4 linked regions of the Oreochromis niloticus genome follow. The protein of the gene in region 2 purifies or fractionates together with the protein of the main gene of each other region. This does not show direct contact. Links are inferred from orthologs where the notes say so. Each region holds a gene or a part of one and is shown on either strand. Other genes may lie near its edges. The genes, in order: sike1, strip1, serine/threonine-protein phosphatase 2A catalytic subunit beta isoform and slmapa.

Region 1 (8,358 bases), on a different chromosome or scaffold from region 2:
CACTTGCTGAACTTTGATATACGTTTTTGTTTTTGCTTAGTGTTAAATACTATTCTTATGCAACCACCCAATGATACACCGCTGGATGTCTGCAAGGGTGAAGAGAGGAACAAACATAATAGGTAAGGCAGGTCAGCCAGTGTGCCAAGTGTCACAAACAAAAAGGAAAATAGCTGCAGGCTTTAATCCCAAGAGAGGATACAAAAGGGGGGAAAGGGGAAAAAAAAAAAAAAAAAAAAAAAAGTAGGGGGGGTATGGCCTGAGAACGACAGAATAGGAAGAGTGTGGATCAGGTAAGGGAAGGCAAGTAAATCATTTTCAAACAAAACTGAATGACTAGTTCAAGTATTTGGAGGTGGTGGTGGCTCAGTGTGCAGTGGTGCTGGCTTCTTTCACGTTTTCAGAATAGTTATCTTTAACAAAAGGACAATGTAGAGGTCACTAAGATCAAATCAAAATTTACATTTCAAATCAAAATTTTACACCAAGTATCACTTCCTGCACTCACTCCACCAAAAGGATGTGATGTCACATGGAGAAAGCAATAAGTATGCAAGATTCAAGTCTAACCAAGCACTGCAGTAGCTTGGAACTGGCTGCTGCAAACAACAGCTTAAAATATTGGCCTACAAGTAGAGAAATTTAAATGAGGTCCAATAAAAATAAATAATAAGTCCAACTTTGAAAAACAGAACGCATTTGTGTTTAGTGACTGAGGGGAAAAAAAGAAAGAAAAGAAATATAAATAAAACATCATCCTCGGCATACCACTGCACTGTTTTGGGGCAGTAAGTGTTATACAATCTGTTTTTAAAGCATGTGTGAATCATGTAGTGCATCTATCAAATGCAGATTCTGAATCAGATACCAGTTTTATAAAAATATTAAAATCCAAAAGAGGGTACTGATAATGCAGAGAGGTAATGATGAGCAAAACGTGTGGCAAAACCAGAAGTACATTTACAGCCATCATAAACACACTATGAAGGGCTTCAACTGACTCGAGACCTACCTTTATTGGTCGCCTTGTGTCTTTATCTCTCAGGATTTTGATGAACTAGCAGTTTTTGTGGACCTCTTCACGCACACAGTTGAACACGCACACTTGTTACAGTTTCTGGCACAAGTTCTAGATCGTTGCATAAAGTAAAAAATAAAAAAGGGGGGGTGGAGATAGAAATCTAGAGCAAAAATAAAACAAAAGGCAAAGGCAGGTGCAAAAAACACTGCTCAGGAAAAAGGAGGGGAAAAAAAGAGGGGGTAAGTTGGGGAAGGGAGCTATGGGAGTGGGGAAAAGGAAAAAAACAAAAACAAAACAAAAAACCAACAACAACAACTAGCAGATAGCAGCCCACTCCACACCCCGGTGGTGAGTCGGCGGTGTAGTGAGGATGAGGAGGGCTAGGAGCAGCGTTGGGACGTGTGCTTTGTCAAAGCTGTTGAGTAGGCACAAACTTCTGGTTTCAGATCAACTATGGTCTTCTCAGAATATGCTTGGGCGCAAGTTTGCTTCTCTTCCACTTCGCAGTTGGGATGATGTGCGTATTCTTTGGTCGTTTCAGGATTTGGTTACTTCTTGCGTTTAAATCCTTGAAGTGATCCTTTTTCACCAACGCTTCTTCAGTGTTGACTTTGTTTTGGGAGGTTTGTCTTCAGTTTCTTTGATTTGATCTGAACTTGAAGCAGTTGCGGATGGTACAAAAATTCAGTTCGGTTTCACTTCATACTGTTTGAAGGGGGATGAAGAAAAAAAAGAAGATCTGGTTAGATGAAAACTTATCACCAACTCCACTGATCTAAATTTAGGTTAAATACAAAATGGCCCAAGGGCTCCATGAGTCTGGAGTGAGGGAGAAAAATTAGACTGTCAGCTAATATGACTATTCTATCACACGAAAACAAGTAAAAACCCCAAGCACTGGCAGCCTGAGGTTTTTTGGGAACATTTGATTCTTTAGTCACACTCAAGTACAAAAATAAGCTTTCCTCAAATGCCTCTAGATACAATGCTAGGCAGCTGACAAGTACTGTGGATCAACAAGTCCTTGTGCATACCTTCAGTTCAGGCTATGTTATTTATGGCAACATTTCAGACTAAGGCCCTCTGTTTCATCATTCAGCCCCCCAGTTGTTCTGCATGCACACAACCTTACACATTTTTAGAGGGGCTAATCTGGCAATCAAACAAAGCATTGTAACGTGTGTATGACCTCTCCCCCCCCAAACATTTTTTTTCCAGAAACTCCAAGTAACATACAGCACACCAGAGCAGGATGTTGTTGACCTAAATACCCTGCTCTGAAAACAAGATAGCTGAGCCAACCAAGGACACATGATATCTATTCTGCTGTGACTATGTCGCAATGTCTCCCTTCTTACATCCCACTAGGTTAGAATATGAAGTTGTTAAAAGGCTCAAATGTGATTGCTACAAGGTTGACTACGTAAATGTATTAAAGGTTATGAGCCAGGAACCGAAGACAGCTTCTGTGGAATCCACTTTCGCCGGATTTTTTCTGCTTTTTATTTCGCAGGAAATGAGAAAAAAAAAAATCCACTCACGACACAACTAGCAGCGATTGGCCGTTTTAGCCATGGTTTTTTTTTGTTTGTTTGTTTGTTTATTTGTTGTAAAATTGGGACCAAACTACAGTTTGAGCTATTTGTTATTTAATAAACATGAGAGGGAAAGATACCTCTTATGATTGGACATTTATTAAACGACAGTCTTTTCTCTGGGCAAACAAAACAACCGCCCCGACAGGAACCACCATGTGACTTCTCAGCAATCCGCTATCCTCAGCTGGAACAGCCAACATGGCCTGATCCAACACGTTGCGGTATGCGACGCCATCGCGAACGGCACGTCTAACCAGTCGATGTCAAAACATACAATAAACTATAGTTCGTTAAAACCTCGTTACTTTAGTTCTTTTTTGCTCATTAAGCAAAGTAACCCGCACAATCACATTTAAGGATGTCTTATTGACCTTGTGTGGACAAACAAAACCTGACAGATTAACATTTCGCCGATGCTAATCGTCGTAAACAGCTACTACTCCGCTGTCTTTAGCAACACTTAAAGAAATTCTTCATCATTAACTTAACTAAAACGCATTCAGTTCTTTTGTAATTACCGGATGACTTAAATCCTGTGCAGCTTGGAGTCCTTGAACAGAAAGTTTGCTAATGGTAATTAAGCAACGGTTCAACGTTGTACACTGTACATAGAGATAGCATTTCGACTTCTCTTTCACATTAATGTTTAATGTGGTTTCGGACATCAGTCAAAATATATAGAATTTCTATGTATTAATTTAAATGGGACTGATTATAAAGAGATTTTTTTTTAAACTAGCAATCATATTATAAGGGAGACGTTTTTTAGAACTGGATCGTATCACACGCCAACCTGCAACACGGGCTATTTAGGCTAAACGGACAATAGAGTTAAGAACAGACAATGCCAAAAGTGACTGCCGACCAGGACAGTTCTTTAAAAAGTACTTATAATTATGTACATTTTAAATTTCTTGCCAGTCAAGAACAACGTTAAATATAAACACTCAGTTTATTCATTTTTTTTACGTCGATAACGCAATAATAACATTATCAGCGTTAACGGCACGAGGACGGAACAACAAAGAAGCTAGATACAAGCCTCGTGCTTAATTCTATTTAAATGCCATCTTTGTATCTAAAGTATACCATATCCATTTTACACACGTGCTTTTTCTTTACCAGACTCTAATACGTCTTAGAAAAAACATCACGCGCCTGTTTATTTATACCTTCGACAGTATAACTAGGCCATTGGCAATGCTAAGTAGCTAGTAGCGACTACGGTTAGCTAGCATGCCGTTGTACTCCTCGGCCCTTGTGTGATTTATGTGGAGCTGTAACAAGGCAGCCCCCACCCAGGCCCGAACTGTGCGTACGACTAAGCGCTGACTCACCAATTCACCTCTAAGTACTCACTGAACAAAAAAGAAAACTATTATTGATATATTACCAGTACACGCTTAAATTGTTCTGCTAAAAGGGATAAAATATTAAAAACTCACCCCAACAGCTTTCAGCACTGTCACCAGCGCCGCTAGAAGCAGCACGGCACATTGCGTAGAGATAGGGAGGCGGCTACCGCGATATTTGACGATACTAGGTAGACCAAAGATCCTAAAGCGAAGAGTGGCTACGAGAGGCGCTGATAAGAAACCGCCTATGTGCCGCAAAGGGACATGGGAGGCATTTGCGTTATAGTAACGTTAACATTTTATCTACCTCGCTGTCTAGACTGGAAAAAAGATATGTACGAGTAATCTAGTCGAGTTCAATAAATAATAAATCCATTAATTATTTGATTAATGAGTAAATAATAACTATCATGCCATTTAGTAGATAACTAAACTTAATAGGTGTCGCCATAACTAAGTTTTCTCCCCATACGGGAGGGTTTCTGAGACTACACGTTGCACAAAAACCCAACATAGGAAAATGTAACATAATGCTTCAGCTCAACTCAGCCCTTCACTCACTTTGAAATTACCCGATACTAATATTTTTTCAGCACTGTAAGTGTTTTACGTTACATTTTTACTTGAAATGCTGATAACTTTTAAAATTATGTTGTTGTTGTTGTTCATTTGTTTAACATACAACTGTTGAACAGTGAAGAAACAATATCCTTTTTTCTTTTCCTTTTTTTTAATGAGACGCTGTTGCGTTATGTAAAGATATTTTAAAGACCAATAGGCTTGATAGGTTTAGCCATTAACCCCGCTTTTGGTTGTGTGCCAAACTTCTACACCGCACTCTACCCCAGTAGGTGGCGACTCAACGTTAGTTTGACAATTCGCCAAAAGTAGGAGGAGAAGAAGAAGAAGAAGACGACGACGACGAAGAAGAAGAAGAAGAAGAAGGAAGTGTCGCTAACACTTTAGTTTTACACGGAAACGTCAGTTTCTGAAGCAGTAATATTCTAGTAATGTAGTAATATTTTGATCTGGGTGTCTGGTACTTGCACTGTCTGCCGACACAACATTAACGTTAAGTAGCGAAACAGTAAGGATATTTATGTTTCTATAATGGCACCGAGCTGCCTCGGCTAAGGTTATATAGCCCAGGTAAGCAACGGCTGTGAGTTGTTTTCGCTCTAGCTAGTTTTGTAGTAGCTTTTTTTACCTAACATAAAAAAGAGCTGTCACTTTCCAGTAAATGGCCTGCACTTTAGAAAAAGTGCTGGCCGATACTCGGACCCTTCTCGAGAGGCTAAAAGAGCACGACACAGCCGCCGAGGGACTGATAGAGCAGTCCGAGGCCCTAAATCAGAGAGTGCAGGGCATGAGAGAGGTGGGAAATGCTCTGCCAGACAAGGTAAACTCGAGCAGATAGCTCACGCTTATGAAAAGCTGCACTACTGCTTGGTATACACATTGAACTAGTTAAACAGTGACCTGTACTACAAAGCGAGTTTCCCTCGTATCTAGAATATGCTTTCGTGATATGCGTTCGCTAAAGTCTTCTTTATCTGTTTCTTCTCTGCTCTTTTCTCAGCACACAGATGACAGTTCAGAGATACAGGAGCTCACGAAATACAAACCTCATGTCCTTCTGACTCAGGAAAACACTCAAATCAAGGAACTGCAGCGGGAGAATAAAGGTAAAAAAAAGGTTCTGCTGACTGACTGGCTGGTTTTATATACTAGTATTAACACTCTTTATGCCTTTGTAGAACTATGGCTGTCTCTTGAAGAACACCAGTACGCATTGGAGTTGATCATGTGTCGGTATCGCAAGCATGTGCTCCAGTTGATGATGGCAAAGAAGGAGCTGGACACCAAACCTGTGCTCAGCCTCCATGAGGACCATGCCAAAGTACATCAACTCTGCATTTCTTTAATTTGCTCACACGTTTAATGGGCTATGATTCCAAATACATAGACACACAAATTAAAAAATAAAAAAATAAAAACAACAAACTTGATTTCTGACTCTTTTCCAGGAAGTGCAGAGCCAAGTGGAGCGGATATGCGAGATGGGCCAGGTGATGAGAAGAGCAGTGCAGGTGGATGATAAGCACTATTGCTGTGTTCGAGAGAGGCTTGCTCAGCTAGAGGTGAGAAATGCAGTTATACATGGACACAATGACACCTTTCCTCATGAGGTCTGTGGAAAAATATGTGATTTTACCACAGACCTCAGACATCAGCTTCTGTGTCAAAATGACGGAACGATAATAGATGATCATAACTGCAAATGAGAGCTGAGTTGTCAGCTAGCATCAAGTTTTTAGTGGGATGGTTAGGTTTAGTGCATCAGGTCAAGGAGCATGTTGTTTTGTTTGGGGTTTTATTAGGTTTGTTTTTTTATTACAGTCAAATAGGTTGTACAAGGGTTATAAAAGGGCCTTTTAAACCAGTCGGTTATATTTCTTACTGTAGCATCTTTGTGATAACCTTTTGTGAGCTCTCTAAATATGCTACAACTGTAAAGTTTGTTGAAAAGGTACATTTTCCCAAACAGTAACAAACGTGTATTTAAGAATATAAATGAATAAAAGCATTCAGAACAATAGCTATCTTCCCAGGAGTGGCTGTTCTAGCAAATTCAGCCACAGACTGTGTAATGCTCATGGAAATGGCTAAAAATCCAGGAGCTACAGCTCAGACTCTACAGGGCTACGTTAGCAAGTTAAATGAAAGGGGGGGAAAGCCTCTTCCCTTTAAAAAGAACAAGGCAGCATTGTTAGTTTTGCATAACTGCAAGGCATAAAGTTTGTCCTTTGGACAGACCAGACCAGTGTGGAAATGTTTGGCTGTAATACACAGCAGCTCATTCAGTGAAAACTGTCAAACACACTGGTGGAGCTGTGATAATTTAGGGCTTGTTTTGCACCTGAGTACCGTGAACTCTTTGAATCATCCAAAAATCCCTCTGCGTACCAAAGTATCCTAGAGTCAAATGTGAGGGAAGTCTGTCTGACGGCTAAAGCTTGGTTGAAACTGACTCATGAAGCAGGACAATGATCCCAAACACAGCAGCAAATCTGCAGCACAATGGCTGAAAAAGGAAATCACAGCTTTGTAATATTTCAGTCAAGGGCCAAACCTCAACTCAGCTGGAACACTCAGGTGGGATCGTAACGAATAATCGTGATCCTCAATGTGCTGAAGCAACATTTGATCAGACTTCCTCCATAATGATGGATGAATAAAGTTGTACACGGGTTTTTACACGATGCTTCTTTTTATTAAATAAATAATGACATGTTTTATTGTTCATCTGGGGCTGTATTTAAATAATTTTTGTACCTGCTACGGAACTGATGATTTTTTTTTTTCTTATTAAGTCTTATTGATAAAACCTGAGAAATAAAAGAGGGTGTACTTTCTTTTTCACGTGTCTGTATTTGCTTTGGTTATCTGCTTCACCCAACATTGCCAAAGTGCAAAAAATTCTATCACAAATAAACAGAAACACTATTTAAAAGAGAAGATGTGATGCATCCATCACAATTTTCATTCAAAACCTGTATGCACGGGGAAGCACATGCATGTTATAAGGAAGAGATATTTAACTATAAAAGTTATGTTTGAACATTTTTTTTCTACCTTCAGATTGAGAACAAGGAGCTGCGTGATCTCCTGGAAATCAGCAAGAGCTCTGTGAAGACAACTAGCCAGTCACTAGCAGCAGAAGAAGGAGAAGAGTCTCCTCTGCCGGGGTCCACCGAGTGACCTGAAGTACAGCTGGGATAAAGTTCCACAGAACCAGGAGAGGGGGCTGATTGTGTCTTCACCTGTGTTCACCACCACATTATAGATATTGTTATTTTAATTTTATTTTTTTACATGTAACGAAATGCAGTCCAGCATGAGGTTATCACTCACAATACACATGTACTGCAGCAAAGGCAGTAAAAGCAAAGGGGATTTCTTTAGTTTTTAGCCAAAGACACTTTTATTCTCCAAGGATACAGTTTCTACCTCTTTGGTGCCCCTTTGCTGTTCACACACACAAACTTTTACAGTGAGTAAAGCACCCAAAACCAGCCCAACCTTTGAGTTCACTTGAAATCTATTAACAAGCCAACTTGTAGTCCACACCATATAAGAAGCTGTGCTTGCTGCCAATAAGATAACTTTTGGCTGTTTTAAACTTTGCCTGCTGAGGAGTAGCAGTGGAACCTTTGTTGTTGTGATGTTTTGGGTTTGATATGGTTGATTGTCTCAATATAAAACATGGTTTTCATGTTTTGGTACCTTAATTCTGTGTGTTAGACACAAGTTGTACAGTTTGCCGATTCAGAGTATTGCGTACCAGCTAATGGCACATCTTTGTTAGTGAGAACACTTTCAA
Region 2 (8,103 bases):
TCATCCAGTGCTGCACCTCCACCTCAGAGCTGCACTCAGCAAAGGTCCCTAAAAACAGAAAAAAAAGAAGACAGTACATGAAGACAAACTATTTTCTAGTTTACTTGAAATCGTGGAAACGTGTGATGGACTGACCCTGAGCCATGTAGAGAATGGCTCTGGCAACCTTCAGCCTTTTCTCCCGGGCAGTGACTTCAAGACTGTCCAACAGGCGCATAGCGTGAGCTCTGTGCTGAGCTTCATCGAGCTCTGTCCACTTCTTATCAGACACTAAGCCACAGCAGAGGTGAAGAAAATAAACTAAGATGCATACTTGCTTCATCTTTTATTTGTATGGCTGACGTGTATGTATATTCTAAGTGCTTACCATGAACTCTGAATTCCTCTTCAAAGCACTTCCTATTAAGAGCGAACTCTGGTCCTTCAGTATAACTGTAAAGCTCTGCAACACACATGAAGAGTTCATAAATAATATACACACATTTTTAGGTGGTTACAGGTTCTTAAAGTGTGACACACACACACAGACCCACACACACACATACCTGACAGCTCTGCAGCCCACTTATCTGTGTCCGAATATTCAAACTCCAGATCTGGAGACTCAGACTGCCCCTGTGCACAACACACTGCAGAGGTTAGACAGAGAGGTACTGGATACAAAAAAAAAAAAAAAATTTAATTAAATGAATTAATGAATAAATCCAAGGCAAATTTAATCACATCCGACTGATGTTAAGAAGTCACATTACCCAAACTCTACACACAAACACATAAAAACCTATTTTCTCATTTAATAAGTGGTGGTATTTAGTTAGTACTATTTAATTTCCTTTCCAAAATTCTCCATAACAACAGCAACATCATCAAGAGTCAAAGCACCAAAATGTCCAAGTGACTCTTGCTAAGAGAAAGTGGTGGAAGTAGCATTTTGATAATTTACAATATCAAAAAATAAATTTGACTAGGAAACCTTCTGGATTAAAAGCCCACTTATGTTAACACATGTAAGTCAGTAACTTGTACTTCAAGTGTGTAGTAAAAATGTCCCCCGTTAGTATTTTACTGTTGGATTAATATTTCTCCCGCATTAATGTCTTTTGAGGCTTTTTACTGCTGATAACGCTGGTTGAGCTAATACATTTTTGTTGGGTTGTTTTATCTACAGCAATGCATCATAATCACTATGATCTTCCTTTGTAGAGTACTTGAGTCAATGCATTTAGCTGCATTTCCCCACATTTTAGTATTTAGCTACAGGTGAAACACTCCTCTGTGCTGGCAGCTACTCTCTAACAAAGCTTACATCTTTTAACATCTTTTTTTTTAATCAGGCATGTTCTCCACCTTATACATGCCTATAAAGCACAGTATAAGGTATAAAAACATCCGGTTGGCAACAACAAGCAATACTGTTAAAGTAGTTCAGGAGCACAAAGTAACAAATAAGATGCAATCAAACACTGCTGTAATAGCACTGTGTCCTGTTTAAGACTGAGTGCACCTGAGTGGTGGGAGTGGTGAAGGTTATAAAACCTCCACTTTCAGTCTGCTTACTCTCTTTGGAAAGTTTCTTCATGACACTGTTGGTTTGTTGGGTTACTTAGTTCTGGAACACTCAGTCAATTATATTTTCAGTTCTCCATAAACACCGTGCACAGCTGATGTCAGTTACTTTAACGCCTCACTATATTTTGGTTACATAAACCGCTTTGGGCACTGTTTATTATAAAGCTGTACCAATAGTAGTAGTAATAAACTTGTACTTGAGTATCTATTACTGACAACTCTATAATCTTTTATTCTATAATTTACATTTCAGACAAGTTAATGTAGTTTCTGATTTGTAATATAAAGTTTATGAATCAATAAACAATATTATGTGTACCAGCTGCAACACTGAAAGCAACAGTAACACACTGAGGCTGCCATCATGAAGCATTACTGCAGAGCTCCTTCAGTGACAGACTGCTGCATCCTAGATGCATGAAGGAGCGTTTCCGCAGGTCCTTCCTCCCTGCAGCTGTCAGACTGTACAATCAAAACTGCTCCCAACAAACATAGATGTTTACATCAGTGCTGTAACAACTTCTACTGTTATAACTGCACATTACTTTTCTCAGCTTATATATACACTAACTTATTGGAAGTTACATGTCTACTTTTTAATGCACAGGTACAATACACAATCTGCACTTTTCTAATTATTCTAAATATTCTTAACTATTTAAACATCTTTCAGTATCCTGCTCTGTTTGCACACTATCTGTACGCTAATTTTAACAACTGTACTGTACTCTGCTCTGGTAACTATTGTCCATGATGTAAATATGTAAAAATTGTGTTTTTTGTTTTTTGTTTTCTGTTCTGTGTCCTGTTCTTTTTGTATATGTGTGTTTTTTTGCTGCTGATACAACCAAATTTCCCCTTGTGGGACAATTAAAGGATTATTCTATTCTATTCTAACTAAACACAAGAGGATTTACTATTGCCACTGTGAGCCTACTTTCAAGAAAAGACTGGAAATAATACACCTCTTCAAGACAGACAGGGAAGCAGTGCTGCCATGACTGTCTCCAGTGGCTATTTAAACCACTACACGGAAACACTCAGCTTGTTTTCTTTAAACGTCACACAGATGAGTGACCAATTTGCATATATACAGTAAAATTACACTGTCATAGCCGACTGTCGCATTAGAAAGATTAAATGTGTTAAGCAGGACCTAAACAATCAGTTTTCAACAGGTCCTTAGATTCCTGACACATACACAAGCCTGGCCTGTAGCCGGCTAACGTCAGCTAGCTGTCTCCTGCTCGCTTTTCAATGTGTTAACACTGGAAAACAAACGGAACACCGTACAGCTAAGTACACGTACAAACACCGTAATGAAGGTCGTTTGCTGCTCTTAACTCCCGAATCATGTTAGAAACACTAACTGGGCTACAATGACAGAGCTAGCTAACTTTACACTAGCAGCAGGAAAGGCCTCGTCTCTTTAGCTAAAAAAATACACGCTGGAAATCAACCATAAGCATCTGGATACGTACCTCTGAATCTTTTCTTTGATTGCGGGTAAATTCGCCCCTGGTTTTGTTAGGTAACATAGCTCTCTGCTTATTGTTTACAGGCAGCCCACTACCGTTTCCACCGACGTCCATAATTTTTTGGGGCCCAGTGAACTCTCGCGAGATGCGAAATGGAACGCGACAGTCGAACTCCCGTCAGCGCATCCGCAGCATCTTGTCCGAAGGTCCGCAGCAGCGACCCGAGGTGTGGTTGTGGAGAATTTGTGTGAAATGAATTTCTCTCTGCCTCTTCATGTAATCCCGAACTGACGCCATGATGATGAGATCAGAAGTCGGAGCAGAGCCTGCTGCAGGTATCATTCTGGATGAAGAAAGTTCACAGGATCTGTCGTACTGTAGAATTAATGCGGGACTACTCAGAAACTTCTCTTCTACGTGATGGATAAATATCTAAAGATGATTAAAATTCTCCAAAACATTTTTAATTAAAGAAAATATATAAATAGCATTTTTTTTTTTTAAATTATGGATGAAGGTGTGGTCAGAGGTTTGCATTCACTTATCATGGTGCATGCATGTGATGGTAATTTTTTTGTTTTAAATTATTTATTTGGGAGGGGTTTTTTAGCTACTGGAAGGGACTTCCCAAAGCCCCGAGCTAAGTCCTGTTTCCTGGCTCTTGTTGACTTAAGAGCCAGGAAACCAACCAATTTAAATGAAGTCTACATTTCTGCCAAGAGTGGCCTAATATTCGGCCAGAATTATGTCAAAAGCTTGTTTATGTCTACCGAAAGCATCTGGTCGAAGTGCAATTTACTAAGGGACGATAATATTTTGACCCTGTGTGCATTAGAGAAAATCCCAAATAAATAAAAGCTTGTGCAACCAGTTTTTGTTTTTGTAAAGTCATTAAAGATGTATGCTCTACAATCTTGTTCACAGGATATCATTAAAAGCCCCAAATTGCCGCATCATTCATGCCCATGATGAGTAGATGTAAATTTCTAATCACAACTGTAACCATCATAATTACATTATTTTTAAATGGTAAATGGACTAGTTCTTATTCAGCGCTTCTCTACTCTGAGCACTTTACACAACTAGTTCACCCATTCATACAAGCACTTTTTCCCCCCTATGCTCTTTCTAGGTAAGTGCTTCCTGTCCAACATGCACACACATTTATACTTTGATGGATGCATCAGAAGCAACTTGGACTTAGTATCTTGCTCAGGGATGTTTGGTATGCAGACTGGACCAACCTTGCAATTAGAAATGACCTGCTCTTCCACCTGGCATACAGTCACCCCAGTTAGGGACATATGCCTAAATAAAATTGTGTGTTCATTTCAATCAGAATAAAGAAAATTATTGTTCCATTTGGCTCACTGTCACTGTTACCCACATATTTTTGCCTGTGGCCTTAGTGAGCGAATAAACACTCACTATCTGTTTATATGCCTCTCTGCATTTAATTATTAGTTAGTATTCATTTCTGGCTCTCCACAGCATGTTTTTGTCTCGTCTTCCTCCCCTCATCCCCAAACAGTTGCAGCAGATGGTTCCCCTTCCCCTTCCCCCCCCCCAAGCCTGGTTCTACTGGAGGTTTCTTCCTATTAAAAGACAGTTTTCCTTCCCACTGTTACCAAAGCGCTTGCTCCTAGGCGGTCATATGATTTTTGGTGTTTTCTGTTTTCTTTGTAGGGTCATTACCTTACAATATAAAGTGCCTTGAGACAACTGTTGTTGTGATTTGGTGCTATATACATTAAACTCAATCAAATTGTGTAAAGCTTATTGTCTGTCTGCAGGAAAATGATGTTTCTGAGCCATTTTCAAATTTAAACTGGAGTTTATTAAAGGAGAAAGTGAAGAGAAATTTAACAAGCTGTATTCAGTTGACATTATGAAACAAACTAGAAACAAAGTTGAAAAATAAGCAAACATTATAGGTACTATATAATGTAGACAACCTTGTATTCAAATGTAACAATGTACAGCTTCCAAATCACAGTGGTATGCTGATTAACTTCAATTTAACAAAAGTCAAGCTGTTTGTGCCAGTAATATAACATTCATTTGTCTCTATAACAGAGGAACAACTAGGTTAAAGTGACTGTCACTATTAGTTATAAAGCGAAGCATTTTCCGAGTGCCATTATGAAAGTAAATGTACCATTATTACAAGAACATAGAGATTAAAAAACCCATCACAATAAATGTAAAAGGTAAATATCAGAATGTAAAATGCTGCTTATTCAAACTGTTTACAGTAATTATTAGCATAACTTTTTATGGAATTTGTGAAACACTGACTTTTCCAGAAGAAAGGCTGAGGATTCTTTGCTGCATAGCTATAACTGTATATTGCAGGGTAATAACTGTGACGGGCATCAACATGGATAAAAAGGAAAACGCACAGATGGTCCATGTGAATATAAATTACTAAGTGAGTTACAAGGCACTGTCAACTGATCAGTAACCATGGTTGCAGCACTCCTTTTACTGAAAATGATGTCCTCCTTGGCTGTAATGCCCTTAAAGCTGTTAGTGCAAAGATGAAAAGCACTTTGCAGTAGCACACTGTAGGCTACTATTCAATAAACAACAGGAGTAACTGGGAGGTGGGGGGGGGCAGCCTGCTCATTTAAAATTGAAAATTACTGCACAAATGAAATACGCAGTTTCTATAAATTCAGGTTTATGCTTAGTGCGGTGATGAAACAGGATCCTCAGTCATGTGGAGCGTTACTTTAAAATGGTAACAAGGTGTCAAACACTTGAGAGGAACAGCAGTGCTGTCAACTGTAAAGAATTAATGACTAGCGACCATCCTCTCGTACAGCACAATGAAATGTGTTGAAGAGCTGCAAGTTCAACAAGATACAACTATCTGTGTAATACCTAGTTTAGACATAAAATGAGTCGCTCAACTCAGTCATCCAAAGTGCCCACTGTTTAAAAAAATATCACATGTGAATATAACAGAGTAAATGTGAATTTGCATTTAACAAGCCTCACAAACATTTACGCCTCACAGTGCGTAAGCCTTTAAAATGATCATAATCTTCTGGAAACACACATACTGTGTTGGATTAGAATAACTATAATACCACAAGATAACAGGAGGTAAAGCTAATACAACAAAGCTCATCCGTGTCTAGTCCCAGAGCATTTAGGAAACGACAGTTACTTTTCTGTTGTTAGCATTCTTTAACAGAGTCCTGAGACAAATCTAACAAGACACGGCATTACGAGAGCAGCTCATCAGAGGCTGCTGTATGTACAGTATAAATGTGCTGTATGTAACATAACCGCCAAATTCAATTTACTCTGAACAGCTAAACCTGACAAATGACATGGATCACAGACATGATTATATCCCTCCAATTTACAGACATGCTGTAAATATTCAATTCAAAACCAACTGATTACGCATGAATACTAAGATTAGATAGTGCAGATGCGTTGACATATATTTACAAATAATTAGAGATATTTGAATGCCCTGAGGTACAGATATAACTCTCACCAAACACCAAAACCTCATAAATGGACAAGTTCTTTTTCAAGAAAAAAATATGACAAGCTCTTACATTTACTCTGCTCAACAAGCGCTTATGTTTCTGTTAGGCCCAGTGAAGGTTAGCACTAATTGTGAGGATACTACAACAGGAGTGTATCTTGTGTATGGAATGTATAAGGTGATTAAGTGCTTTAATATCAAAGCAGGAAGAAACGTTTAAAGCAGCACAGAGCAATTTCTGACCGCTGGACAGTAAAAATACTCAGAGGAACAAAACTTTGATTTACAGTCAGCTCATCAGGTTATTATGGCTCATCTGTAAGCAAACGATTGCCTACTCAGCAGATACACAGGAAAAACTGATTTGACATCTGATTAATGCCAAATCACTGGCTAGTTTAAAAGTAACAATAAGTCTCATATTGACTGGCCTTTCAACTCCGATTTGGTCCACCTACTCCTGAGATAGAAAAAAAACAAAAACAACCAGGAGTTTAAATCATGTCACATTTTTTTTGCAATTGTTGGCTTATCTGTTTTTTAAGGAAAAGACTGCAAACAGTTTTAAGCACAATATTGATGAGAATGCCAAAACAAGGAGCTAAAAGTGCATAAAAAGCACAGTAAGCTCCTGAGATTCCTGGGTTTGGCATTTTAAGTGACTGTTTTGCAGTACATGGAGGGAATGATTATACAAAAATAGTGCTCCGTGTGGGTTTAACATGTTTAACAACTAATATTTCTGAACAACCACAACCCTCCTCTCACAGTCATTTGGCACAATATGCTGATATACTCAACAGCTTTCAGAATGGAAACACATGCAATAAAAAAAAAAAATCATATATTTTCCTTTTTTTGCATGTGTTATCTCACATAAGCAGAGTGCTTACACCTCACTTTTCATAGCCAGCTTGGGTGCCATTGGTAAAGCAGCAAAACTTTCTACAGTCACTAAAATACAAGTAAATGAGCTATGCATCCCATGAAGGGTAAAAAATACAATACACAAATCATTATTTTGCCTGGAAGTCGGGTACTAATCAGGAACCGTCCACATGCTGTTGTTCTCAGGTGACAGACTAATACCTGTGAACAACAACAACAACAAAAACAGATAATGTGAATGAAACACAATTCTTAAAAAATGTTTATGTGTTGGCAAACAACCTAGTGCAATAACAATAAGTTAATAAAAGTTTCAAAATATTTCCCCATTTCAAAATTTTAATATGTGCAAAAGTGTACCTGTAGTAATTGGGTTTAAAAGGGCCATTCTTATTCAGACCCAGGTATTTTGCCTGCTCGTCACTAAGCTCTGTCAGGTGGGCATCAAACGTGGCCAGATGCAGACTCGCAACATATTCATCTGAAAAACAAAGACATCCTTTAATAAGAAAGAAATGGGCGCACACACAGAAGATGTGTATCTGTCAGTTCATGCACTCCATTCTTGCAGCCGTCCATAAATAATGCCTGTCGGCTTCCAACGTGTAAATAATACAGGCAGTGGTTAAGTATTTAAATCCTTACCCATCTTTTTGGGAA
Region 3 (8,446 bases), on a different chromosome or scaffold from region 2:
TCTTTTTTTTAAACAATCTAAATTGGACGAATTATCATTGCCTTTAAATTTTAAAATAAAAAGATGCTGTTATCAACACAGAGGTCATTTAGGTTAAATTAAATAATTGAATTAAATTAAATAGTTTAGATCGACTGTGTTCCTTTTTCTTTTTTTACCTTTGTCCCACAAATGCAACACCCAGTCTCATACTTCCTTTGTTCTGTATACAGTGATCTCTAAATAGTTAGTCAAACAGAGCAACCTCAGCCTCATTTCAAATTATAACTGCAAAAGATGACATCAAGCATTGTTAAGTAGGAATAATTTTCTTCATCACAAGCTAGCTGGTGTTATCTGTTAAAAGACCTTTAATGAGCAGGTAAAGCTCTAGATTAAACCAATAAATTGCATTATCAAAAATAACTCTATGATTTTCAAATTGTTAGAATTCACCTTTTACTTTCCATGTTTTATTTCATAGTAGTGGAGAAGTCCAGTGATCTGATCAGGTCACAGTCTAGCTGAAAATGGCATTTTGTGAAGACTGATGTGGCTTCTTCTGAGGCTTATCTTCAACCCAAACAGTTGGGTAAAATTTTGACCTAATTTTGATCAAAGCTGCTCGACCTATGACCCAACAGAATTAGTCATGTCACGGACCTGGGTCCGAGCAACCCAGGGTTATTGAATATGTTATGGACGTGTATTTTTGGTGCTGCTGTCCCTCGTCTGTTTGTGGGTATGTGTAAGTCGGTGTGTTCAGCCTGGAGGCTGGCCACACCTGAGGGAGAGGATCACACACCTGCAACTGATCAGGATCGTCGGGGGAGCTACAGAGCAGTGTGGCTGAGCGCTCCTCTACGCTGGATTGCTGCGTGAGACTCCACGTCAGTCTTCTAGCTTAGTTAAAGTCTGTGAGGGTATGCCTACTGGAATTAAGTGTCTTGACAGCTGCCTCTGTTATTTCCCCTCAGGAAGAGCGTGGAACACCGGAGGGCAGCAAGCACGGGGTGTGCCGACACACGGGAGTGAAGAGCACGGACTTTTGAGAAGAAGAAACAACACGGGAGTCAGGGGAGCACACGGGGAATTATTGTCATTTTGCTGCACTGTAAATAAACGCACTGTTCAGCATAAAGAGTCCAGCATTTGGGTCCTCATTCCCCACTTCCCCACGGTCTGCCTCGCAGAGCCTGACAAGTCAAGCTGTGGAGTGAATTAAAGAACTCAGCACATTACCAGAGTCATGACTATTGAACCAATATTTGCTCACCATAAACCAACTTACCAACCTACAGCTTTTACCCAGAAGTTGAGTTATGAAAATAACTCCAAGTACCTCGCCCAACACTGATTGTGTACTTCCTAAAAAAACCATATGTGATTACAGCTACAAGAACCGCGCTGTGAAAGAATAAACTGCCTCAAACCAAACTTTAAGCTCCTCCTTCCATATTCTGGACAATTTGGCCTTAAGTGTGTTTCTGGCCGACACACCGGAGCGACTGTAGTGCTGAAGAGTGAATCAGTGTCACAGCTGTGTCTATCCTGATACCTCCACTACACCCACCTTCCAAAAGATTCACCTTTACTCTCATCAGTCCACAGAGGATTGTCCCAAAGGTCTCGGGCATCAGTATAGATGGAAGCTAGCGGTCATGAATCCGATAGACCTTCAAAATACAGCTGGATATTTATCCTGCAGGTTTACTGTTATTTCAGACGACGTTTCTTACCTGTGGTTAACAAACACGAAGCTCTGAGGTCCGATTTCTTCTCTGGAAGTGGAAAGTTTTTAAAAAACGCTGTGACTCAAACTCGAAACGGTGCGAGAAGACCACAGTGGCCAAAAATATATTACATCCGTAGTGACGGTTCGATTCCCCGACCGGGCGGCATCCTCTATCTTTGTTTATTACTGTTATAGTAACAGTGCACACAGAGCAGCTGATGTCAGAGGTTAACTGTCAGAGACTCAGGAATAGATCATCGGTCACATTCGTCACAGTGACTGAGAGTAAATCAGGAACAAACATATTCAAATGTGCGTTTCAGTTACAGATTTATTACCTACAACTCTCAGAACAAATGAACGCTCATCGTCTGCTGGGAAGGATCAAAGTTTTATGATTTTAGCTTTTTTGGCTGATGAACTACATTTTTTTTTCTTTACAACAAAGACCTCATAAACAACATGTATTTACATTGGACTGTACAGGATCAGGCACCTGCGCGTTTCAGGCAGGTGGGAAGAATTCTCCCTGAAGCAGAACAAAGCCAGCATCCACACAGTGAGTGTGTTATTCCACAGTGGGTATCAGTGCAATGGCAGGTGCTGCGTGGATCCCTTTGCAAAGGTTTCTTTGAATAAATCCCTCATTTATTCCATGATTATTATTATTTTTATTTTTGGTGGCTGCAAATAATTAGATAGATAGATAGATAGATAGATAGATAGATAGATAGATAGATAGATAGATAGATAGATAGACTTAAAAATCATCAAGTTTTCATGTATATATCTGTCTACAGAATGCATGTGCTCGAATATATAATGATGTTTGATTTATGAGATCCTTGACCTTGTAGAGAATTGCCAGAGACGTCGATATTTTGCCTTTGATATGAGTAATGTGGGGAATCCAGGATAGTTTGTGATGTATTATCACACCAAGGAATTTTATTTCAGATACTCTAATTCAGTGTTATTTATTGTCAGTTTACTATTAGTAGAATATGTGCGATTCCCAAATATTATGAATTTTGTTTTGCTCAGGTTCAATGTTAATTTATGATGGTCAAACCAGGTCTTCAGATTATTTAATTCATTTTCTAGCTCATTCAGAAGTTGTTCCAAGTTACTTCCACAGCACAGTAAGTTTGTATCATCCGCAAATAATATTATTTTCAAAGACTTTGAAATAGCACATATCTCATTAATATACAATATGAAAAGCAGCGGCCCCCAAACCCAAACATTTTAAAATAAGATGCTCCTAGCCCCGCCCCTTTCGTGTAAACGCCCTTGCAACCAGGTTCATAAACCTGTGTCGACTTATCAAGCTCATAACCAGCTTCACGTGACTGCTGATGTTAGGATCAGATAAACCGGATCAGGAAAAGTGATCCTGGATCTGTTTCAGACTGCAGGCACAGCTCTGACGCTGCTTTTAGGTCTCAGCGGGAAAAACAAGTCAGAGGTCAAAGTGGTGTCTGCAGTTAAACATTTACACTCCACGATTTGAGAAGTGTGACTGTAGTAATACTAGCAATAGTGTAGCAGTGTCAGTAGTGCAGTTGTAGTGTAGTAGTTTACTAGTAGTAGTTGTTGCAAAGATTCTTGTTTTTCTTCCTCACTCGCCTTAACCTTACCTGACTTACCTTGTTTCCCTTTCTCACCTTCGATTGGCTCTAGAGTTTGCCCTTAATTGCACTCACCTGGCACACATTATATAAGGACTGCAGTCACTTACACACTCCCACATGGGGCAGCAGCTGAGGTGAGTTTGATTTGGTCTCCTGAGTTTAAACCTTTATTCCTAAATTCAACATCACCTCCGTCACATCCATCACCTCCGTCACCAAAAGGCCCAGCAGCACCTCCACTTCCTGAGACGCCTGAAGCGGGCCAACCTCCCTCCTCCCATCCTCACCGTGTTCTACAGGAGCACCATAGAGAGCGTTCTGACCAGCTGCATCTCCGTGTCGTGTGTTGAATGTTGAACGATTAACGATGTGCCAGGAGTCTGGTGTTCTCGCCGGCTCGAGTGACCCTTGAACCCCCAGTCAGCTATCAAGCTGGTGGGTAACAGACGTCTCCGAAAACGTCGGAGCACTTTTGCAAATATGTCATGTCTTGATAAACCGAGCAGATATTTGAAGTTTACACAGCTACATTCTTGTCTGAATATATGTTAAAAGTTTATTTAGTTTTTTGTTTTTTGATTTAAACCCTGTGGGAGTGTCCCCCCCTAGAGGGACAATGGACCTCCTAATGATCCTCTACCTAATCACATGAGCCAAGGTGTGAAAATGGGTGTAGGTCACAATCAGCCAGGGTTTCGGGTGAGCTCATTGTGAAACCTAGCCCCACCCTATCATGTGATTTCCTGAGGTCAGATGGCCCAGGGTGTGAGCGGATTCAAAGATGGTCGCTCACAGTGGACATAAAAGTATTACATATACATATATTACTCTTATTACTTTTTTAAATACATAAAAGTAATAAGAGTACTTATTACTTAGTAGCGGCTGACATTGTTGGAAACTGAATTCTGGGATATGGTGGGCCACGAAGGACACACCCGACCCATCCTTCAAATCTGGGGAAAAGGAGGACGCATTTGTCGACCGGCTTCGGAAGAGTCTACGAATTGGGACAGCCTTTGCTGCGCCGCTGTGATGTAATCGGCCTACAAATGTGGCCTCAGGAGGATGCAGCCTACGTTTTGGGACACAGCTTATGTCTCCCTTTAAGTTACACTATATAACTCTGATATACTGCAACAGATTGATGGCTGTTTTATTTTGCATTCTGACCGGTTGATTTCATGAGGTTAACAATTTCAACTTTCCTTTGAACCTCCTCATTAACAGTAGTGATAGTGTAGTAATAGCGTAGTTATAGTATTGCAGTAATGTAGGTGTACTGTGAAAGTAGCAGTAATGAAGCTGTAGCAGCAGTAATGTAGTAGTGTAGCAGCAGTAGTTTTGTACTTGTACTGTGTTAGTATTAGTACTAGTAGTGTTGTGGCGCGCATTCGCGCCGTAATTCAAGGTCTGTCCACACGGTGTCACTGCTGTGCTGAGTCCACACGCTGGTTAAATCCCCGGATGTTATTGTGGCTAGCTCCTTTAGCAAATCGGCTAGCCGCTGCGACGCCGCTGTATTCTGCCGCTACGCTCTGCCGCATCGGGGACTTTTGATCCTTTTCACTCCCCCGGCCGATAGACCCGTGTTTTTAACATTGGTATCTTAACATCGGTCATTTATCATGATAGAAGTTGATTAAACAGGTCGTTGTTTTAAACTGTTGCGGTGATTTTTTTCCAACCGGTCCGGTGGGTTAACAATACGAAGAGCTAAAGGCTAAATTAGCAGCTAGCGTAGAGACACAGGCCCGCTTGTTTCTTCAGGTAGCTAACACAGCTAGCTTAGCGAGCTACCGCGGCTGTCATGGAAGACAAATCATTCACTAAAGAGTTAGACCAATGGATCGAACAGCTAAACGAGTGCAAGCAGCTATCGGAAAACCAAGTCCGGACGCTCTGTGAGAAGGTAAGTTCCAAAGTTTTTGACATGATTTCCCGGCAGGCCTGGCTCAGTCCAGCGCGGCCTGTGTTGCGAAAGTGGCTCCGGTTAATTTCCGGAATAAAGGAGCGACGAGGCGGCTGTTTGCGCCCAATTGTCCTCCGCATTCTGAGTCAGAATTCCCTTTCAGGTGTGATATATATGTGTGTATTTCTATTAAATAATCCCCACTGTGAACTGTTGTCCGACTATCGTCGACTCATTACACACGGGCCGAAAAATCGCATCTCTTGCCCAGTGCCAGGAAATAGACGCAGCCCATTTTACTGCCCGGTTATTACCTGCGCTGCTTTTTGCGCACAGGCCGGGATTCAGCCTGATTCAGCCATTCACTGTAGGGGGCTTTATTCTTATTTCTCTCTTAAGGCTAATCATCTGTTAATGTGTGTCGCGATTGATCGATTAGTACCGCGCCCTTAATGTATTGATCAACCATTTGATTGCATAAATGGCAGGTTGGTTGCACCATTAAAAATGAGCCGTTTGTGCAGCCGTGTGGCGGCTCTCGTCCTCTGTCGAAGCGATTAAACCCGAAATATTCCTCGTTGCATACTTTTAGAAGTGTGCGTTGACTAAATGATCTGATCTGAAGACATTTCTATTATAGCAGCGATGTTCACAGAGAAAATGCCCATCAAACTGAAAATCCACGTCCGAGACAGCAGAACGTAAAATGTCTGTAACCTGATTTATTATGCTCTCTGCATGAAGATGAATCCATTGTTGATGCCATTTAACATCTAAATGAGGGCTGAAACCGTCTGTACTAATCAGTCATTTCTTTCTTTCTAGCTAATCAGCAGAGTCAGAGATGGTTTAGATGTTAAAAAAAATAAATAAATAAAGAGACTCATAGTACAGGTTCTGGTGTCCCCGTTTAGTCTTCTTAGATTTTCAGTATAATAAAAAGATGAAAGTCTCAAAGTAAAAACTGGATAAACATGGCATGAAATTTGAAGGACAGAAGAATATAATGGAGGTATGATGAACATGGCACAGACTGGCTCATATCTGATTGATCTCCATTAGGAGATTATTGCAGTAACCTGAGGGGAAATGAAAGTATCCAGGTGGTATTGGTCAGATGGGTGAGGAGGTTTGAGCCCAGCCAGGTTCTGCCAGCTGACTTCATATGAACTAATCAGTTACTGAAGGGGGCTCTTATTACAGTTAATAACAGTAAAATTCATGAGATGAATGAAGTTTGGCCTGTTGTAGATAGATGCTGTCATCTTTCAGCTATGAGTGGAGCTGAAGTGATGTAAAAAGTACTGATAAGTCTTTATTTTCCTCTTCCTACACATTGTTGTTTGCAGTAAATTTGAATAAAAACCAGCAACATGTTTATGGACTTTTTCCTTAGGTGGGTAAATTTTTAAAGGTTATTGATTTTATATTTCCAGGTATTTAAGCTGTTGCATGATTCATTGCATCAAGTTTTTCCTGCTCTAAATGAACCTCACACAGCAAGTCCACGTGTAGCTGATGACTCAGTGTTGATGAGTTTACTGTGCTTAACAAAGGGCTGTATAAGGTTTGGATATTTCTGACATTTTGACTAACAAAGATGGTGTTATTTCGAATAGAGGGAACTATAACCTGCTGTTCTGAAGGGTTCTGGTTGGAGGACACTGTTGGTACAGCATAAAAAGATATTTAGCATTTTGCCCGGTTAGCTGTTTCCAGTTTCCAGTAAAATAAATTAATAATACTTCACTTTATCAGTAAGAGAATTTTAAAAAAAAAATGACAGCTTAAATGTCACATGTGTATGACGTGTTTAGCTGGTCAAAAATGAGGCAGTCCCAGCTGTAACCTGTGTATCCTATGAATTCTGATGGGAAGGAGGGAAGTTTAGCTGCTGAGTGTTTGATGGTTAAAACTCTAAAATAAGATCAACTTTATTTTCTCACTCATGTAAAAGAGCTGTGGGGGTGAGGAGAGGTTTCCAAACAGTCACGTGGGCCTGAAATCTTAAGAAGGAACAAACAAACAAACCAAAAACAGTCGTGTGTGTGTGACTCTGGGCACGTAGGAGCTTAGTTTGATTTCACCTCCTATCAGCTCGTCACATGATCCCCCCCACTGTCTGAGCTGTGATTCCTTTAAAAAACAACAACCCAAAGACACTCATTAAATCTGTTTCCTCTACAGGCCAAGGAGATCCTGACCAAGGAGTCCAACGTTCAGGAGGTGAGTTTTCCGAAGTCATTATTGATTATTCATGGAAAAATGAAAGTCACGAGGAAAAAGAAAAGCAGAAGATAAAACCAGAGCTGATATCAAACGATTAGATTCTAATCCAAGTCAGCTGTTTATGGGTCATCGGTCCTTTATGTGTTTCAGAGTGAAGATGTGGCTCTGTGACTCGGGTGGAGCGGAGCTCAGGTTAACATTTTACATGCATCCATAGTTCTGTGTTAACCTGAGCTGCACTGCTCACAGAGCCACGGTACTAGGACTCTACCTTTGACAATATTGACAATATCCAGCCCAGGGAGCCTTCTAGATAGTGGAGTTGTAAACTGTGACAGGCTCCTTTCTCCTCATAAACACCTCCAGGCTGCTCTTAACCCCCCCCCCAAAAAAAAAAAAACCCATAAAAGCAGCATGAAGAAACAAGCTGTGAAATGATGGACAGTTTCCAGGTATCAGCACGTGTAGGTGAGCACCAGCCTGTTTTTAAATGAGCTCTCCACCCGCTGATGGTGTTTCTGCAGGGCACAGGTGTAGAAAGGTGGCTGTTTGTCCAAATTCTTTCTTTCATTTGTATCAAAGTGTGGAAAAGATTTGAGGAACAGATTTCAGTGTGCGGTTTGTTCCCTGTGGGGTGTTTGAGCAATCTCACACCCTGTTTACACTGCCTACAGCTGAGGCGTGGGCTCGAACACATGCCCACCGCCATGTTTTTATGGAAACGGTTTTCCCTCAAAAGCACAAAACTGATCCAAACATTCAGCCGTCGGTGAACGTCCTATTTACAGCAGCTCCTGTCAGCTGCTTGTTACTGATTCACCTGCAGTGAGGAAGGTGGAAGTGATTTGAGGAAATTGTTCCTCCTGTGTGTTCGGCCTTAAAGAACTTTGTTTAGATAGTTGATCATATTGACTTCCTGTCAACAGAGCAGTTCCCAGATCGGATCAGATTTGTCTT
Region 4 (7,824 bases), about 6.2 Mb from region 2:
CAACTTAGAGCCAGACACAAGCCAGCAACCTCAGCGTGAGCAAAAGATCAAAGCAATTACGAGACAAATTATGGAGATGAGTGGGAAAAGAGAGAAGGGTCAATGCCCTGTTATCTGGTGAAGTTATAAAAATACTAGGAAATGATGCAAGTACCTGACATTTGTTTTGTTATATAAATCTGTTGAACTTGACATTGTTTGCCTACATAAAATATGACAGGTAAAGGTAGGTGTACAGCACCTTATTTTCATTCAATTATTTGTAACTCTTTCCAGTGACGGAGCACTTTATTTTCAGTTTTCCAATGAGAGAAGATCTTGTAATGTACTGCAGTTTGCGGGAAAATTCTTAAGTTTAATAATTTATTTTATTATGAAAGTAAAACTTTGCATTGAAGCAGAGTGGGTATATGCTATCAGTTAAAATTGAAGAAAATTGCAACTGGTGCATCTGTAGATCCTGATCCTTTCCAATTATGTAATTTTAGATAGCAGATTAAGTCAACTACTTAAATAAATTTAAAAACATGTGTAAGCGTGTGAAGATTTTCTCCAAAATCTTTCAGGTGCATCAGTCCACAGAACAAAGAGTTATCAATTAAGTGGTTTTAAAGCCATATTTAATTTGCTAGGCAAGCTGGGCAATATCAGGAAAATGCACACATTTGTTAAGTAAGCCTCCCTACCTCAACTACACACTCAGTAATCCTGCTTAGTGCCCCACTCCCTTAAAAGTTTATTATGAGCCAGAAAAAGCCCTGACTACAGTCACAGCATCAGCTGTTCTTATGGAGGTTCCTAACAGAAATGACAAGGAAGCAATAAGAAGTGCTGGTTGAACTCTCTAAACTGTGGGGGGAAATACATTTTCTCGAGGGCTCACGTGAGAAAAAGAAGAGAAAACTGAGCAGAACTGAGTTCAGCTTATTGGTGTGGCCCTCCACAAGTGTCACAGTTTCTCACGTGGCCACCTTGGGAAAAATCAATTGCCCACCCCTGCTCTAAACACTTAAAAAAAAAAAAAAGTGCTTCACTACTTTCTTTATTACTAAAGAGACAATGCTTCCCCACAGTTCATAGTGACACAAACAAATCCATCAGCATAACTGACAAGAGTGACACAGATTATGCCAGTGTTAACGTTGTTAACATTGCTTCTTCATTTCATCCCACAACCTGCTGATACATTTCAAACTTTGAACAGCAGCCTGTTAAATCCACAGCAGAGCAATCATTATTAGTATTAATAATGATAGCTGTATTAAAATCTGCTCCCTTGTGCCATGAAGGTAAACATTATTTATAAATCTTCAAGTCACAATTATAAGGCATATTAAATTAATCCAAGTTGATGTAAGGGTTACCATGATTCAGTTTGGAATAAGTTGGATCTCCTGCTATATTTTAAGCTCTTAGGTAATAACCTTATTTACACAGTAAAAGAAAGGTTGTGAGCTAATTGGGATCATCCATGGAAAATATAAGTAAACAAGATGAGCAGCTAACATTGCAAAATTCCTCTTTATAGGCCTTTTATTCCTGTCTATTTAAAGATGCAAACCAATGAGGTGATATTTCTCACTGGTGGTTCTCTTTATATGGCCAACCCACAAGAAGACATGAAGTAAAGTATCCATCTACTGTAGGCCCACATAAACACCAAAGTAAAGCAATAGGAGGTCATTTTCAGTGCTGTTGCCGCTTACCTTGCCAGTCTTGTGGTCAAACCACACCAGAGCGTGATTCCTGGACAGCACCTTGCAGTCGAAGGTGGCGTTGTTCTGGGCTGGCCGGCACCGAGCCACCGACCTGCCGATCTTGACGGGCTCATCCAGGTACACATGCCGCTCCTGGAATGGGTGCGAGTTGGGTCGGCAGGCGAATATTGCCAGCGCTGAAGGCATTGATTTTGGCTTGAGAGTATTACTCCAACCAGAGACGAGGGGCAAGTTTTCTTGATCCAGAGTGGCAGGTTTTTCTGGTGCAGTCCCTCCTCCCAAAAAAATAGTAATAATCTACAATATCTGCGGCCTATCTGTAGGCTAAAACGTTAGTCCTCTAATCTTCTAGGCACTAACTAGTAAACATGGTCCTCTCTCATGTGTGAGAAATAAAAAACAAACCAACAGGTATAAAAAAAAAGACAGGACATTCCCCTCACTGACTGCCCACCGAAGCTACATAACGACGCTTATATGTGACAGCAGGCACTATGTACAGACCAAGCTGCCATGTGTCAAGACATACATGAGTGAGTATAGCACTGACAGCCCCTCACGTCCATCAAACTCCTTCTGTGCTGACTAAACTGTCTGTTTAACGCCTATCAAGAGCAGTAGGTCCAATTATTGCGCGCTTCTGAGCTGTGTTGTCTTCTCTTGCAGCAAGCTAACAGCAGGCACACACCCCAGCGTTCATCACCCTATACACACAAACACACACGCGTCTGTCGTTTACTAAAGTGTCATCTATAAGTGTAGTTGACATGTATGGCTCGTCATAATCTGAGTGACCTTGTTGCCCTGATGCAGGGAACCTTAGCTACCTTCCTATCTCCCTACCTTCACCACTCCCTCTACCAGAGAACACCTAGCGAGCCTGAACGCCAAAACACCCCTGAGTTATAAAACTAAAGCAGCTCAGTGCCCACTCTTCGTCTGAATTAGTCAGCGGAGACGTTTCAAAACCATCCACCGGGATGAACAGGGGGGGATTATCTGGTCGTCTTGTGCAACTGAAATGCTAATTGGCTAACTCGCTGGTGGACAGGCGAAGCGCTAACTCTCTTCTGGCGTTGTACCAGAAAGCTAGGCTAAGCTAGGCTAGGCTAATGAGTACTGACAAAGTTATCGTCCAGGTCCACAAATTTTTTCTCCCCATCTTTTTCAACCAGTCCGCTTACCAAATGGATACGATATACCATCCCTGTCACCTGGAGTAAATAAAAGCAACACGCTAGCGCTTCTTTTTGCTAACACAGAGCTCTGCAGGCGAGCGTTAGCATTGAAGGGAGCTACCTAGCAGCTAGCCGGCTAACTGACAGTCAGAGCAGAAACCGACGCGGAAAAATCAGGGGAGTTTCTTGACTGCGGGTCCTCACGCATCACACACCAGTCCGATTATTTTCTGGGGAAAGCCCCAGTAAGAAACACAAGTTATGCCGCTGTCGTCTGTTGCAGTGTACCTCGTGGTTGCCGCTATAAGTTTTATATTAATGCCGTCGCCTTCCAACAGTTTTGTGGAAGGAATCTAGAAGAAGTTGTCCTCCTCCGCAAGTCCCAGCCGCCATACTGTAACTAGAGAGCAGACAGCGGTGGTGCGTTCACTGAACGATAGACAGCCGGAGGGATGCATTCACTGACCAGGTGACATGAGCACCACCCACTGCTGAGCTCACTAAGTCAGACTCGGAAAAAGTAATGAGCTTAATAGATAAATACATAGATACATACAGAATTATGAATTATTAAAAAAAATAATAACCACGTGATTAACACTGACGATAAAATTATAAGCACTTTTTTAAATGTAAAAAAAAAGTACATACGGGTAAGGTGTTACAAAGTTGGTATTAAAGCACATCAACATATTTCACGTACAAACACTTCTTCAAATAATGATGATAAAGAAAATTACTTTATACAAAAATCCTATAATCTGATTACATCATCTTTACAAGAGTTCACATGAAAATCCAAACGTATTGCGCAAAGATTGGAGGACTAGAAACCACCCAGACAGTGAAAATACCTCAGACTAACACACAAATACAAATGTAGCTAACTCCCTCAGAGCTCAAAGGGACGTGTGAGGAAATTATTTCATAAGAAATTCTACTATAGACCCAAATCTATTTCTACTTAGTTTATATACAGGAGAACACAAATATATAAGCTAACATAAAAGCTAGAAGCATTGTTTTGGTGAAAAAAACCCTCATAAACCAAACCTTAAACACAAGATAAAACAAATGATGTCAAATCTTCCATGAAACGGTATCCTGAAAGGCAAAAGGGCTGAATTTTGTTTAGAATATGGATCTTTGAGAAAAGCTGCTTTTTGTAAACCACACAATTTCTCTGTTTTGTTGTTTTGTTTTGTTTTATTATTGTTTGCTGTGGTTTCCCTGTTTTACTGGAGTGGATTTTTTTATTTCAAGAACATGGACTGCTTTGTGTTAAATATGGAAACTGGATTATTGTTCAGTCTCTTTTTCAGAACTTTTCTTCTTGTTTTTTGTTGTTTTTCATTGTCCGTTACACAGGCCTGAATATATTAATTCCTTAAGAAATATGGAAGTCCTAATAAATGGTATAACCTAGAAAGGAAAAACAGAACAGATTTTTATCTACTTTGCTTAAAAAAAATCATCTGGTTTCTTTTCAAGTACCTTTTTGATTCTCATCACCTGCAGTTTATTAATCAGAGCAGTATTTTTCAGTTTGCATCAGATGGGCGTTATCCTAGCAATGCAGTTTAGGGGTAGGACAGCAGGTTGGGGGTGGTTTTACAGGAGATCAAATTCTGCTTCTGGCCCCAGAAATGTCCCTGTGGTGCTCTGGTGAACAGACAGCTGAGACTAAATCGATGGTGGATGAGACTGTAAAGCAGATAAAAACAAAGCAAAGCTTTGCTGTTTCTTCTTAGATTCAGCCATAATTTATAGGGCATGTGACTAAAGTATTCATAATTACTCTCCATAAGTGTTTGGAATTTTCCACATCAATTTTTTTTGTTGGTTATAAGGAAGTATAAAAAATATAATTGTTGCTTCTAGCAGCTGAACTGTGACCAGGCTTCAGTCTACACACTTTACTGAGAAAAGAAGAGCTAAAAATTTAATTGAACAGTTTGAACACTAACTTTTAAGACTGGGAATGTTGTTGTTTCATCAGTTTTGGGGGGAAAAAACACTTTTCTTGAAAGAGACAGACAGGTTTGGTGCTGTTCTCATTCATATTAAGTTAGTCAAGAGGTCACAGGCATTTTTTTAATATTCCTTTAAAATGAAGGAACTTATTTGCAGTATTTAAACTTTTTCTCAGAGTTTATTGAGTTGTTGCTTTCCTAACTAACCTCAAGCCATTGTTGCTAGTCCTTGTTTTCAATCAGCCTCAATAATACAGCAGAGCTGTAACGAAACATGCAGAAACCTTCCAGCATGATCAGAAACATATCTGAACCATTTAAAGGGCCACATGCACATTAAAGCAAATGACTTCCTCAAAACAAGAAACCCGAAAAGCAGCCTGGTGTCAGACAGAGTTATCAACTCCTTACACTCTGACCCTAATTTTTCAAAAGTGAGAAATATTCAGTGCATTCCACATTCACCTACTTCCAAAGTGTATGGAGAAGAGCAAGGGCCTAAAGAGGTTGAAGATGTAAAGCATTTCAGCCTCTTTTCCTCTAAATGTCCAAGACTGAGTAGGTTTGATGAGATCAGAATATTTAAATTCTTGCATGGCTGTTTAGTTTGGCCTCGTTCATATTACTAAACTGTAAGAAGATGCACGGGGAATCAATCTTCACAACAAATCCCAGCAAGAAAAACATATGTTGAGCTATGTAAGCCAGTAAATTAGTTCATCACAAGAAAAGGGCATGTTTCTGGGAATAAGACCTTGTACTGTTGCTTGAGATCTCAGTAGGTCTAAGAGGGCAGAGGATTGAAACAGGATTCACTTTGGGATCAGACTGATCATTAGGCTGTTCCAAATATACCAGAGTGAAGGACGAGATAAGGACTGAGTGACTGACAGACTCCTGCGATGTAAACATCAGACCTTATAGGACAGTGATATTAAAGTCATTTTAAACTGTGGGTAGATCATTCCCCAGACTGTGCTGTAAAACAGAAAGGTTCTGTTCTTTACGGAAAGAACATAATTTCTATAGCTGATAGTAAAAAAAACAGGACATTTTCTGTTATTTAATTTTGTCTGTTACTTAATTACAGATAGTATAATAAAGTCCAGATCCCAAATTGGATTTGGATTATAATTAAGTAACAAAGACTATACATATACTATAAACTAACAGAGATTGCACAAATACAGCAAATACTTTGGTGCAATATGAATGGCCATGGGAGAGGTTTATCAGCAAGACAAAAAGTTAAATTTATTAAAATACAGCGCAGTCCAAAATGTATGCCTTACTTCACATTTTCCAAAGCCATCCAGTGGGCCAGATCAGGGACTGTAGCGGCCCAATTCTGGCTCCTCTGCCTTGTATTTGATACCCTTGTTATAGGTTTTCATTTTAAAGTTTTGGAGTTTCCCGGTAAAGTGTTCCTGGTGCAGGTTTTGGTTGTGGGATAGACCCCATCGTGGTCCCTGCTGCATTGCCCAGCCCTCCTGCACAGAGAGCAGGGCACCAGCTGTCACTGTGCTAACAGTCTGACTATTATATGAGATTTAACAGCATCTTACTGTGTTTAGCTTCTTAGCCCAGTTTGACATCACTATGTCCATTTAACAGAGGCTGTTTGTGGGATACAAAGCCTTAGAAGCTGAACTCCATTACATCTTAGTTTAATTACAACACTCTTTAGTGATCTGATAAATGTTGGGGTTTGTGTGCTCCCAGATCTCTTTCATTGCATTTCATTATCTATCGATGGAAAGTGTTTTGGATATTGAATGTATTATCACTAATGTCAGGTTATCAATGTGAATATTTTACATTTGAAACTGTATACAAAAACATAAGAATGTATAAAAACATAAGAAACTATTACATTCATTATAACTTACATGCTTGTACCATGTGATATTTGAACATCCCCAAAAAGGTCTCACTTGGACTTTGGATTTTTTAATTGATTTATTTTCTGTTTAGTTGATAACTTAGCTCTTTAGTATGCACAGTTTTTTTGTTTTGTTTCGTTTTGTTTTTTTCATGGGATAACATATACTTTATTTATGAAAAAAAAACCCCGAAATCATAATAAAATACGAAAAAAGAATAATTGTGTTAAAAAGCTAAACATATGACAATAAAGTATGTAAAAAAGCAATGTACATTTACATTTATTTAGTGACAGATCAAATACGGTTTTCTGTGGCTCAAGATATAAAATGCAGGAATATTTAAAACCAAACACAATATATAAGTCATTTAGTATGAATTGGTTTAAATTTGCATTACTTTACACAGTCAGAAATAGGGGTACGGAAGGGGTACATTACTGTGCCCCAAGGTACAAAAATGACATTAATACAGTCTAAGGACAAATATTGGACCTCGGGGTAACTGTCTGTACCTTTTTTAGCGTCTGAAAGGTACATACATGTTCCTTAATTGTGAAAAGTACTTATTTGTACCCATTCTTTCAAAAGATAAAGTACAGGTTGATTAAGCTCTTTTTGATTAGAGGTTTTTTTTTTTTAATTCTTTTTGACAGTAATTTATTTGCAACTGTATTGATTTAAGCATATATTTTAGTGTTTTTATTTTATTTTTTATTATTTTCATTGCTGTTGTTGTTTTTGTATTCCCTGAACCCCCCTTATTTTTAAGCTGCTTTAAGAACAATGAATTTATTTGAAAGAAAAAAAGTAAAAATGCATTTAAACATTTTTTTTAAGAGTGATTTTTTTTTAAAGTATAACTATTTGGATGAATTGCAAAAAAGCACCCTTATTGAACTCTGAGTGCGAGTTGAGCCCATCCTCACAACATCAAACAAAAAGTAGAAGAAGAAACTCAACGAATAGCTGGTGGATTCTAGAACTTTCTGTAAATGCAGCAGGTGCCATTTTTGTTTTATCAACGGACGGAGATGGATTAGAACTTGCAAGTCCTGGTGTGCTCTGTTCA

The links.
Region 1: the proteins of strip1 (region 2) and sike1 purify together in Homo sapiens (affinity purification with mass spectrometry; 3 studies listed by BioGRID and IntAct, with this or other methods). This does not show direct contact. The link is inferred for Oreochromis niloticus from reciprocal best matches to the Homo sapiens genes STRIP1 and SIKE1.
Region 3: the proteins of strip1 (region 2) and serine/threonine-protein phosphatase 2A catalytic subunit beta isoform purify together in Homo sapiens (affinity purification with mass spectrometry; 6 studies listed by BioGRID and IntAct, counting the BioPlex papers as one, with this or other methods). This does not show direct contact. The link is inferred for Oreochromis niloticus from reciprocal best matches to the Homo sapiens genes STRIP1 and PPP2CB.
Region 4: the proteins of strip1 (region 2) and slmapa purify together in Homo sapiens (affinity purification with mass spectrometry; 4 studies listed by BioGRID and IntAct, with this or other methods). This does not show direct contact. The link is inferred for Oreochromis niloticus from reciprocal best matches to the Homo sapiens genes STRIP1 and SLMAP.

The regions. Positions count from the first base shown.
Region 1 is NC_031984.2:27,970,730-27,979,087, reverse strand, and holds the start of sike1 (suppressor of IKBKE 1), read left to right. Parts: upstream 1-4,874; 5' UTR 4,875-5,123; intron 5,124-5,195; exon of another isoform or gene 5,196-5,211; 5' UTR 5,212-5,214; coding exon 5,215-5,373; intron 5,374-5,553; coding exon 5,554-5,659; intron 5,660-5,731; coding exon 5,732-5,874; intron 5,875-6,001; coding exon 6,002-6,115; intron 6,116-7,616; coding exon 7,617-7,736; 3' UTR 7,737-8,358.
Region 2 is NC_031970.2:21,898,905-21,907,007, reverse strand, and holds the start of strip1 (striatin-interacting protein 1 homolog), read right to left. Parts: upstream 3,338-8,103; 5' UTR 3,162-3,337; coding exon 3,051-3,161; intron 616-3,050; coding exon 546-615; intron 443-545; coding exon 368-442; intron 271-367; coding exon 136-270; intron 49-135; coding exon 1-48. Other genes in the region: S-adenosylhomocysteine hydrolase-like protein 1, read right to left, coding at 7,638-7,644, 7,804-7,924, 8,089-8,103. UniProt on the Homo sapiens protein: Plays a role in the regulation of cell morphology and cytoskeletal organization. Required in the cortical actin filament dynamics and cell shape. Part of the striatin-interacting phosphatase and kinase (STRIPAK) complexes.
Region 3 is NC_031977.2:38,531,585-38,540,030, reverse strand, and holds the start of serine/threonine-protein phosphatase 2A catalytic subunit beta isoform, read left to right. Parts: upstream 1-4,826; 5' UTR 4,827-5,158; coding exon 5,159-5,260; intron 5,261-7,447; coding exon 7,448-7,486; intron 7,487-8,446.
Region 4 is NC_031970.2:15,724,428-15,732,251, forward strand, and holds the start of slmapa (sarcolemma associated protein a), read right to left. Parts: upstream 3,344-7,824; 5' UTR 1,905-3,343; coding exon 1,707-1,904; intron 1-1,706. UniProt on the Homo sapiens protein: Associates with the striatin-interacting phosphatase and kinase (STRIPAK) core complex, forming the extended (SIKE1:SLMAP)STRIPAK complex.